Xenopus tropicalis: one gene and its partner. The protein of the gene in region 1 purifies or fractionates together with the protein of each later gene. This does not show direct contact. Links are inferred from orthologs where the notes say so. Each region holds a gene or a part of one and is shown on either strand. Other genes may lie near its edges. The genes, in order: atf2 and atf1.

The links.
Region 2: the proteins of atf2 (region 1) and atf1 purify together in Homo sapiens (affinity purification with mass spectrometry; 3 studies listed by BioGRID and IntAct, with this or other methods). This does not show direct contact. The link is inferred for Xenopus tropicalis from reciprocal best matches to the Homo sapiens genes ATF2 and ATF1.

The regions. Positions count from the first base shown.
Region 1 is NC_030685.2:64,415,097-64,419,434, reverse strand, and holds the start of atf2 (cyclic AMP-dependent transcription factor ATF-2), read left to right. Parts: upstream 1-1,237; 5' UTR 1,238-1,394; intron 1,395-4,338. UniProt on the Homo sapiens protein: Transcriptional activator which regulates the transcription of various genes, including those involved in anti-apoptosis, cell growth, and DNA damage response.
Region 2 is NC_030678.2:143,260,016-143,264,598, forward strand, and holds the start of atf1 (cyclic AMP-dependent transcription factor ATF-1), read right to left. Parts: upstream 2,845-4,583; 5' UTR 2,731-2,844; intron 1,512-2,730; 5' UTR 1,406-1,511; intron 1-1,405.

The DNA of each region.
Region 1 (4,338 bases):
TTCACATGTCCTTTGACTTCTAGTTCAAAGTGTTTGGGTTTCACATAGAGCTCTGCCATAAAATTTCTGCAGCCCTGACTAACTACTGTTACTGAACAACAGATAACATTTTGCCAACTAAGGTGGATCATGCTGTCAGTACAACATAAACTTTAAGATTTGATTGACAGAAAAGCATTCCAGGACAAGCTTCGCCTGAACGCAACAGAAAGCACCTATACCTACACCTACTTAGCCCTGAGCAGGGTTCAGCCCTTCTAGGTGGTATGTTTGTAAACACTGGAAGCTTGAAGCTCTGAGAGCCCCATGGCCCTGGTTGCCACTGTGGGACTGAGTGTGGAAGACAGGCAAAATACCAATGTCAGTGACCACTCTGCCTGTCTTTCCCCTGTAACATGGTGCTGAATTAGGGCAGACTGAATAAGTATGGGAAACTGGGTTCTTGCTGGTGCTTAATGACCAGCAAGGGAAGCCACCTAACCAATCCTGAGCCTTTCCTGGGCTGGTCTGGTTACCAAGGCAGCAGCATCTTCCTCCTGCACATAGAGCTGTGGACCAGAGCTGCTTGCCTCTCACAGCCTTAAATCAGTGCACCAGTTGTCTCACTGTGTTCCAAATGCATATTGCTCTTACCTTTAAATCATATACATATATACCATATATATTCCCTTGCTGTGTGAACTATGCAAGCATCCTGATATTTGTCATTTTTATCCCTGTCTTTATCAAAAAAATGTTGCCACTGTCTCTTTACTAAACATTAAGGAGTCACTCCATGTCCATTCAGACTTAAACAAGTGACCTTTTACAGTGTTTATGTCACCATAACACAAATCTGTGTGTGAAATTAATACTGTGACAGAATCTTCAATAAACAAAAAAACACTAAAATGATGGCAATTTCACTTGACCCTGGTTTGAACAAAACCCCTTTCCCTTTTAGTCAGACTGCGATATGAGGCTCTAAGGGTGTCAGGTACTGCTGCAACCAGGAAACGTAATTTTATGTTTGCTGGCACAAGTCTGAACTTTGATCCGGGAATAGAAATGACTTTTTATATTAGGAGCTGAAGTGGTGAAGGGAATATCAGTCAACCAACAAGAAAAAAAAAGTGTTTTTATTTAAGTATTTTTTTATTCGTTCGTTAACAAAGGAAGGCAGTGCGATCAGAAAAAAACCAGATTGAGAGTTGACCTAACACGACTTCCTAGCAGCCACCGACTGCGTACAACTCAGTTACGCCCACTCATCCCTCCCACAAGCGGCTGCGTAATGCGTCACTGCGCTTGCGTAGAGTCGTGACGCCAGTCTCGCGTGAGGAGACGCGGTGTTGGGCTTTTCTGTGGGACTGGGAAGCTGCTGGGAGCCTGCACTTGACAGCTTATCGGGAGGTGTAAGTAGCGTTGTGGGACTGCGGGCTGTGTTAGGAAAGGCTGGACTGTTGGGCAGAATGCACTTACATGGATTCCCGGGCCCCCCTGCTGTCAGTGAGCTGCAGACTTGGAAAGGGAGGGCGGGAGCTATGGTGCCTGGATGTTATTTACGCTGCTGCTGCTTGTTTTGTCACAGAGGTTCAAGTCCCTGTAAAGCCATTGTGGCTCTTCCGAAGTCTGCGGCTCACTGACAGCAAGGGTCCGATAATCCAAGTAAGAGCAGCACTGCCAACCCCCCTTAATTCCCAAACCCACTGGGTCTGGGACTGCCCCCCCCCCCCATGGGGGCCCTGTCTGTAAACCACAAAACAACACCACCTCAGGAGATCTTAAACACAACAAATCCCTCACCTATAGAAAGAATCCTACCAAGATTTCTGGGGGTGGTGTAAGTTGTAGTTCCACAATGTGTGGGGTGCATGACTGCCCAAGTATCCTAATATAAGCCCTTGGGTGCAATGTCATGGAGACTGGCCTTCACCTAATGGCATCCTTGCACTACAGTACATTCCTGAGAGGTTCCTATGGGCTCCTAGTGGGTGCAGCATTCTGCACCTTTGCTCTAATCCTGTTTGTTGTATCATTAGCCACTTCATTCCTTTTGTAAGAGCTTGCATGGATATCTTGACTCGATTTTCATGTGACCGATTGGATACAGTTTTACAATGAAACATGTTTTCCCTGTAATAATCAAATGTGATTGAGTTAAATGAAAATCGCATACAGTTTCAGCCGAATTTCGGGAGATTTGTGTTGGAAATTTCTGTATAGCTAGCCATAAACAGAAATAGTAAAACGAGATTTAACTTGTTTGGATTCCTGGCCATGCTGCCTGCCATTGACTTGAATGGTGCTAGTGGTAGGTGTATTTTGGTTCTGTGTTTTTGGGCTATGAAATAAAAACACAACAAGGGGTATCGTATCTTAAATCACCTTGTGCCCCTTTACTGTTGTTCTTGTTGGTTGGGAAATGCTTTAATGAGCAGGAGTAGTGTTTGGGGGGGGATTGAATCTGAAACAATCTTATATAAGATAAGAATGGGAACTGTCAAGCTTTCAGTCATATTTAGGGGAGCAAATGGTAATTCACCCCAATTCTCACCCTAACTGACCTTCAAACTGAGCCACCCTCACTACTGCCTCAAGCCCCCCCCAGAAAGGCCGGGTTCCATAGTATGTGAACCACTGCTATAAGGTATCACTGGGTCGGGGAAAGGAATATAAAGAAAAGAAAGAATAATAACTTGCGTCTTTCAAAGTGATTATAACATGGATTGCTGTGTTTGTATGCACGTATTGCTGTGACTATTAGGGCTGAACTACATAGAGAGATTTTGTTGGATATGGTGATTGCAAACAATCACATCTTATAAGTCTTATGTAGTTGTGCGGGTCTGTCAGTGGTGCAGCTGGTATAAAAGTGGAAATGCTGAGCTTTTATCTGACAAGTAGTCGGACAGACTTTTTCTCATTGAAATACACTGACATATGCAGATACATGAAAACAAGAACCCATCTGACTTTGAGAATCTGGTTTTGTAACATCCCACATAATTTAAACATTTTTAGAAAGGTCTTTTCAGTACATATTTGACAGCATACTGGTCTACTTTATATAGGGTTAGTTCACTGTTAAACTCTTTCATGTAGACAGGAATATACTGAGGCAATCTGAAATTGGTCTTCAGTTTTTTCCATCACTACTTTAATTTGGAATTTCAGCAGCTATCTGGTTGGTAGAATCCAATTTGCCCTAATAACCAGGCAGTGGTTTGAATGAGAGACTTGGATATGAAAAGGAGAGTGCTCAAAAAGATACTGTATATACTCGAGTATAAGCCGATCCGAATATAAGCCGAGGTACCTAATTTTACCTAAGAAAACTGGAAAAATTTATTGACTCGAGTATAAGCCGAGGGAAATGCAGCCGCTACTGCAAGTTGAAGTGATATCACCCCCCTCCCAGCAGCTAATTAGCAGAACAATGTGAAAGCATCAAGATAGCAGCTCCCAGTATATATCAGAATAGTACGCAATAGTAAGAAATCCAAGTGCGGCTTGGGATTCCCCCAGTTACATGGGAGTAGGAGAAACAATAGGTTACCTGAAAGCAGTCCTAATGTGTAGCGCTGGCTCCTTGTGAAAGCTCAGACTCAGGCACACTTTACTGCTGCGCTGCAAGTTGGAGTGATATCCCCCCTCACTCCCAGCAGCCAGCAGAACAGTGGGAAGGGAGCAAGATAGCAGCTCCCAGTAGGTATCAGAATAGCACTCAATAGTAAGAAATCCAAGTCCGGCTTGGGACTCCTCCAGTTACATGGGAGTAGGAGAAACAATAGGTTAGCTGAAAGCAGTTCTAATGTGTAGCGCTGGCTGAAAGCTCAGACTCGGGTACAATGCACTGAGATGGCGCCTACACACCAATATTACAACCAAAAAATACATTTGTTGGTTCAAGAATACAATTTTATTTGCTATGTAAACAGTGTAATTTAGATCTAAAACTATACCATAAAAATCAGTATTCCTTTAAAATTTACTTTGGGTTGTGTTAGAAAGTGCTTGGCAGCATCTATTACACAAACTCCAGCCTGGGTCTCCCACTTCAAAGGCCGTTGTGCCACACACCTACTGCTTTTTGTGCCACTCCAACCTGTTCATTAGATATATGCCTCATCCATTATTCGCACTGCTCACTGTGACACAGGGACAATTCCTGTTTTAAAATTTGAACGCATTTCCAGGCTCATGCTGTGTGTATAGAGAAGGGGGGACGGGACACTGAGCCCCCCCCAAATTGTTATGTGAAAGTTCAGTGCACATCAAACCTTGTAATTGGGTCATGTCAGGTCTTTCTTTGTTATTCCACCTTAAAGCGCAAGGAAAGGCAGAAATCAAGCTTGT
Region 2 (4,583 bases), on another chromosome or scaffold:
ACTTATTTCACTCAATGAAATGCAAATCAGTTGCTATCTTTTATTTAAAGTTATTTTTTCGATTTTCCTTTTGATGTGCTATCTGCCACTGTTAAAATAAACCTACCATTGAAATGATACTGTTCTGAGACTTTTCATTTCTTTGTCATTGGACAAACTTACAAAATCAGTGAGGGGTCAAATAATTATTTCCTCCACTGTATATAAGTTATACCATCCAAATGTACACTCTGTGGCCAAGCGGTATCCAGACACAGTGGCAGCTGCATCTAGTGAAACTTCGTACCCCTAAGTGGTTCTCATATTCAGAAAGAAATTAATATGCTCTTACATTTCTTGGAACACCTGCAACAAACAAACCAACCTAGCGACCCCATCTATACTTTCAAGCAATTAAAATATCCTAGCAACAGATCAATTAAGTCTTCATAGCAGAAAAATTCAAACTATGATTTTTTTAAACTGCAACTCCCAAATTCACTGACAGCTAAAAGTCAAAAGGTATGCCGAGAGCTGGAAATGAAAATCATGACTACATTATTTGAAGGTGTGGCATAATAATTTTTACTTCAGGGACCCTGTTTGTTTGTCAGGGTAAAGGAAGAAAAAACACATTTTAATATGTTGGGAGAAATGTAAAGCAATGGCAATGCAAGTCTGTACCCATAGGAGAAACTGAAAGCAAGGAAAAATAGTCTTTAGCCATGCTGTGGGCAGTGCGTCAAAGTAGACTCTTTGGCTAGCACAGTCCTAAGTTATGCAGATTTGCTGTGTATTATACTGACAGATACAGACCCACAAAGTAAAAGTGAACAAATAACAGTGGTGCTGCAGAGTGATGTAAGCCCCAACAATTACAGATATACATATCACAGTGCATATAGGTATTATTTGCTATTAAACACCATTACACAGATACAACTGTATGCTTGCTGTTATTAAGCAGTTTGTTTACAACTGACAATATTATTATATTGATGTAATGCTAGCTTCTGTTTGGACTACTGTTGTCCTCTCAGGAAGAATCATGGCTAAATACCCTAAAGCCGCTTATCATTCATTTTAATGGTATATGCTCTGTCAATGTTGAATGCTTGTACTTAGTAATGTGTACTACAGGGTGTCTGAGTCATCCCTGCCTAATCTACGACAGGCACCATGTTTCCAACTGCTTGCATTGAAAAAAAAAATCAAATGTTTGTGATTGCAGAGGGACAGAAAACATACGCCCACTGGCTTTCAATGTAGTTGCAGTAGGAATTTAATGCGGCAGTTGGAAGATTGTGCGCCCCAACTAAAAACTTCAAGATACTACTCAAGAAAAGGGAAAGCCAGTCAGCTGCTTCTAAACGTTGGTAACAGTAAGCCATCTTGAAACTTGTCATATAAGTATTTCATATTTCACCTTGTTTAATGTTTTCTCGCCAGAGGTGATATCTTGAGAAATTGGCAAGTAAGTGAGTCTTCAAGGGTGGGCTTTAGTGCAACTGAAATATCAGAGGCTGGATAACCTGAACAAGATAATAAAGGAAATTCATTTGTTTAATTTCCAGTTGTTTCTACAAGAAAATATTCTGCTGACACATACATCTGAACAATAAAAAGCATATGGCAGGGCTGCTATACCTTAATTTCCAAATGGATCTTCAGAATGGAAATATTAAATGCTGAATGAATAATTTAATTCACTTGTACCCCAGGCTACTAGAAGGTTACTACTGGAGCCCCTGGCTATTTTAGCTTTGCCTAAGAAGCCATTCTTTCTCTGGCAGACTGACCATGAGCAGCTTCCTTACCATCCCTCTTAACCCATTGTTATATAATTCGTCATAAGGTGGCATAGTCTGACATGAACATGAAAGTAACATGCTAAACAGCATTGTAAATGGCTTAATGCACAGCAGAGACATTTGTGTCACAATAGATATTAATATAAACTCTGTGTTAATTTGGTAATACACTGCCAGATCCACTGGTTTGGTCAAGTTACCACATGAGTGAATCTGTGTCTGATTTGCCACCTAAGCGCAGGGCCTCATCTCAACATTAGCCCTGGGGCAAACAATCAGACCCAAAACTGGGGCCTACAGACATGAACTGCATCAGCACCGATTCACTCCTTGTCTAACAGGGTTGTTAAATCTGTCTAATACATATCTGGCTGATTTTTGGTAAGATATCTGTCAGACAAGCCCATCAGAAAGCCCCATACATGGGCCAAAAAGATGCTGACACTGTGGAGGGAGCAAGCTTTTATCGCCCTGTGTCTGACCTCCTTAAGTATTCTCAAAATCATAATTTATTGAGAATTTTGCTAAAAACATATGTAAGAACGTGGCTGAGGAACACACTGGACAGGTGCCAGTTGTAAAATACTTCTCAATGGATAAACTACCACTTCAAGATGGATATCTTAAAGTGGTAGTTTATCCATTGAGAAGTTTTTTTACAACTGGCACCTGTCCAGTGTGTTCCCCAGCCACGTCCTTATTATGAATATTTGGGACTGGCAAAAGTTGACCATTCATTTTACTGTTCCATAGCTTAACCTAGAAACAAAAACAAAATTTGTAAAATGTTTGTACAGAGATCTGTATAAGTTTTAAAGTATAATGTATTATATATCTGACAGCTATGTGAAGCAAAACTTGTGTGCCGTACATGCATTTATATGTAAGCAGAAAATACCAAGAGAACAAGCAGAAGAATTAGCGCTAAGGCATACCATACCTGTTGAGGAACGTGACAGATGTGAGCTGCTTGGAACACTGAAGAGACTGCGGATATCGGCGAGCTTCCTGTACTGCTGTTGCTGCTCTTGGAAGCCTCTTCCATAATAAACTGTTCAGAAATATAAAAATGTGTGTAATATTCTGAAGGTTACTGGTAATAAAGCACCAAGACAACCATTATATTCAACACATGCTTTTCAAAAGGAGTGGGTATTTTAACCAATAAAAAAAAAAAAAAAAAGGCAAAGCAGCATGTTATACAGGTTGTAAGGGAAAATAACAGCAAATATAGCTCTTTAATAAAACTAAAATTAGAATATGTATATTGCATGTGTACACAAAAAACACAAAAGCCACAACAGATAAAAGTTAAAATGCAAAATCATTAAAAATTCATCAGTTTTCATTTTTTACAATTTCTTTGAAACCCTATTGGTAGAAAGGTGGAAAAACAGTCCCTATATAGATAGATTTCTTTTTAATGACTAGCAAACAGCTGTAAAATATCATACACATTAGTATAGAAGATGATTTAAAAGTCCGTGGAATTATTCTGAGCAGCCAGCTGTAGTATAAATGTGGCAATACACTGAAAGATCCACTCATTTGGCGAGGTCAGTAAAAGAGCTTTCCCTACCTTGACATGGGCAATATTGGATTGATCCCATTGTTTGGCCCTCAGGCCAAAAGAAATGCATCACATTGCCAGGATAGAGGCCCTCATTCCGAGGGGATTTATAAACATGCCCAATCGTCTCGCTCATTGGTTGGATAGGCCTGGCCCGAGTACCCTATACAGAGGCCGAAAAACTGCCACTCATACCTTCAGCAGCTTTTATCAGCCCATGTATGGCCTCTATAAGAAGACATAGTATAACTAAAACCCCTCCTTGTCTTGTAAGCAACAAAGAATAATATATGCTGCTGGTTTTACTTTAAAATGAATATTATCTTTAAATAAAGACCACTTTATTAGAGCTCCCAATAGGTCCTCCTGGTCGCTGTCTGTGTTTCAGGAGTGGCAGTGTCTGCCAACTATACCTTCCAGAAGCACGGTAGGAGGCAGATACGCACAGTCCTGCAGCCACACTAGCAAAGACAAGAAGCTTCTTGGCTTGTGTATAAACTGCCCCTCCGTTCCTATTGGCGTAAAAATCTGTGACTGTAAACAGATAGGAGCAGAGGGGCAGTTTCCCGGTCTGCACTTATACGCAGGCCAAGACACTGCTCTGTGTAGCAGTAGCCTAAGACTAACTGCAACCAAATTTTGAAACTTTACTGAAAATACCTGGGACAGTACTTGGGCACTTTTCGCCATCTTTCCCTTTATTCCAAATGTTTTCTTGCATGGAACACATGTGCAGTTTTGTTATTTACTATACTTATGCTGGCCCAAAGCTCATCAAGGAAACCCTGAGAATGTAGACAAAGACGGCAAGGCAGCACACAACACAAATTTGCAGCCCCCCATGAATCTACCTTTTCTTGTCCTTTAATTCAGAATATAATCTACCGCTGTATTATCATAACGTTTAAATGTCTAGCTCTGATAGGTAATTAAAAGAGGGCAAAAAAGGTTTGTGCAGTTTTCACCTAGAGGGCTCTTTACAGTTTCTGTATTGGGCTTTAAAGGAATACTGTCACGGGAAAACAGGTTTTTTTCAAAACCCATCAGTTAATAGAGCTTCTCCAGCAGAATCCTGTATTTAAACCTGTTTTTTTAAAAAAACACAGAAAGATAGCAGCTCCCAGGAGGTATCAGACTAGCACTCAATAGTAAGAAATCCAAGTCCGGCTTGGGACAATGCACTGAGATGGCGCCTACACACCAATATTACAACTAAACAAATT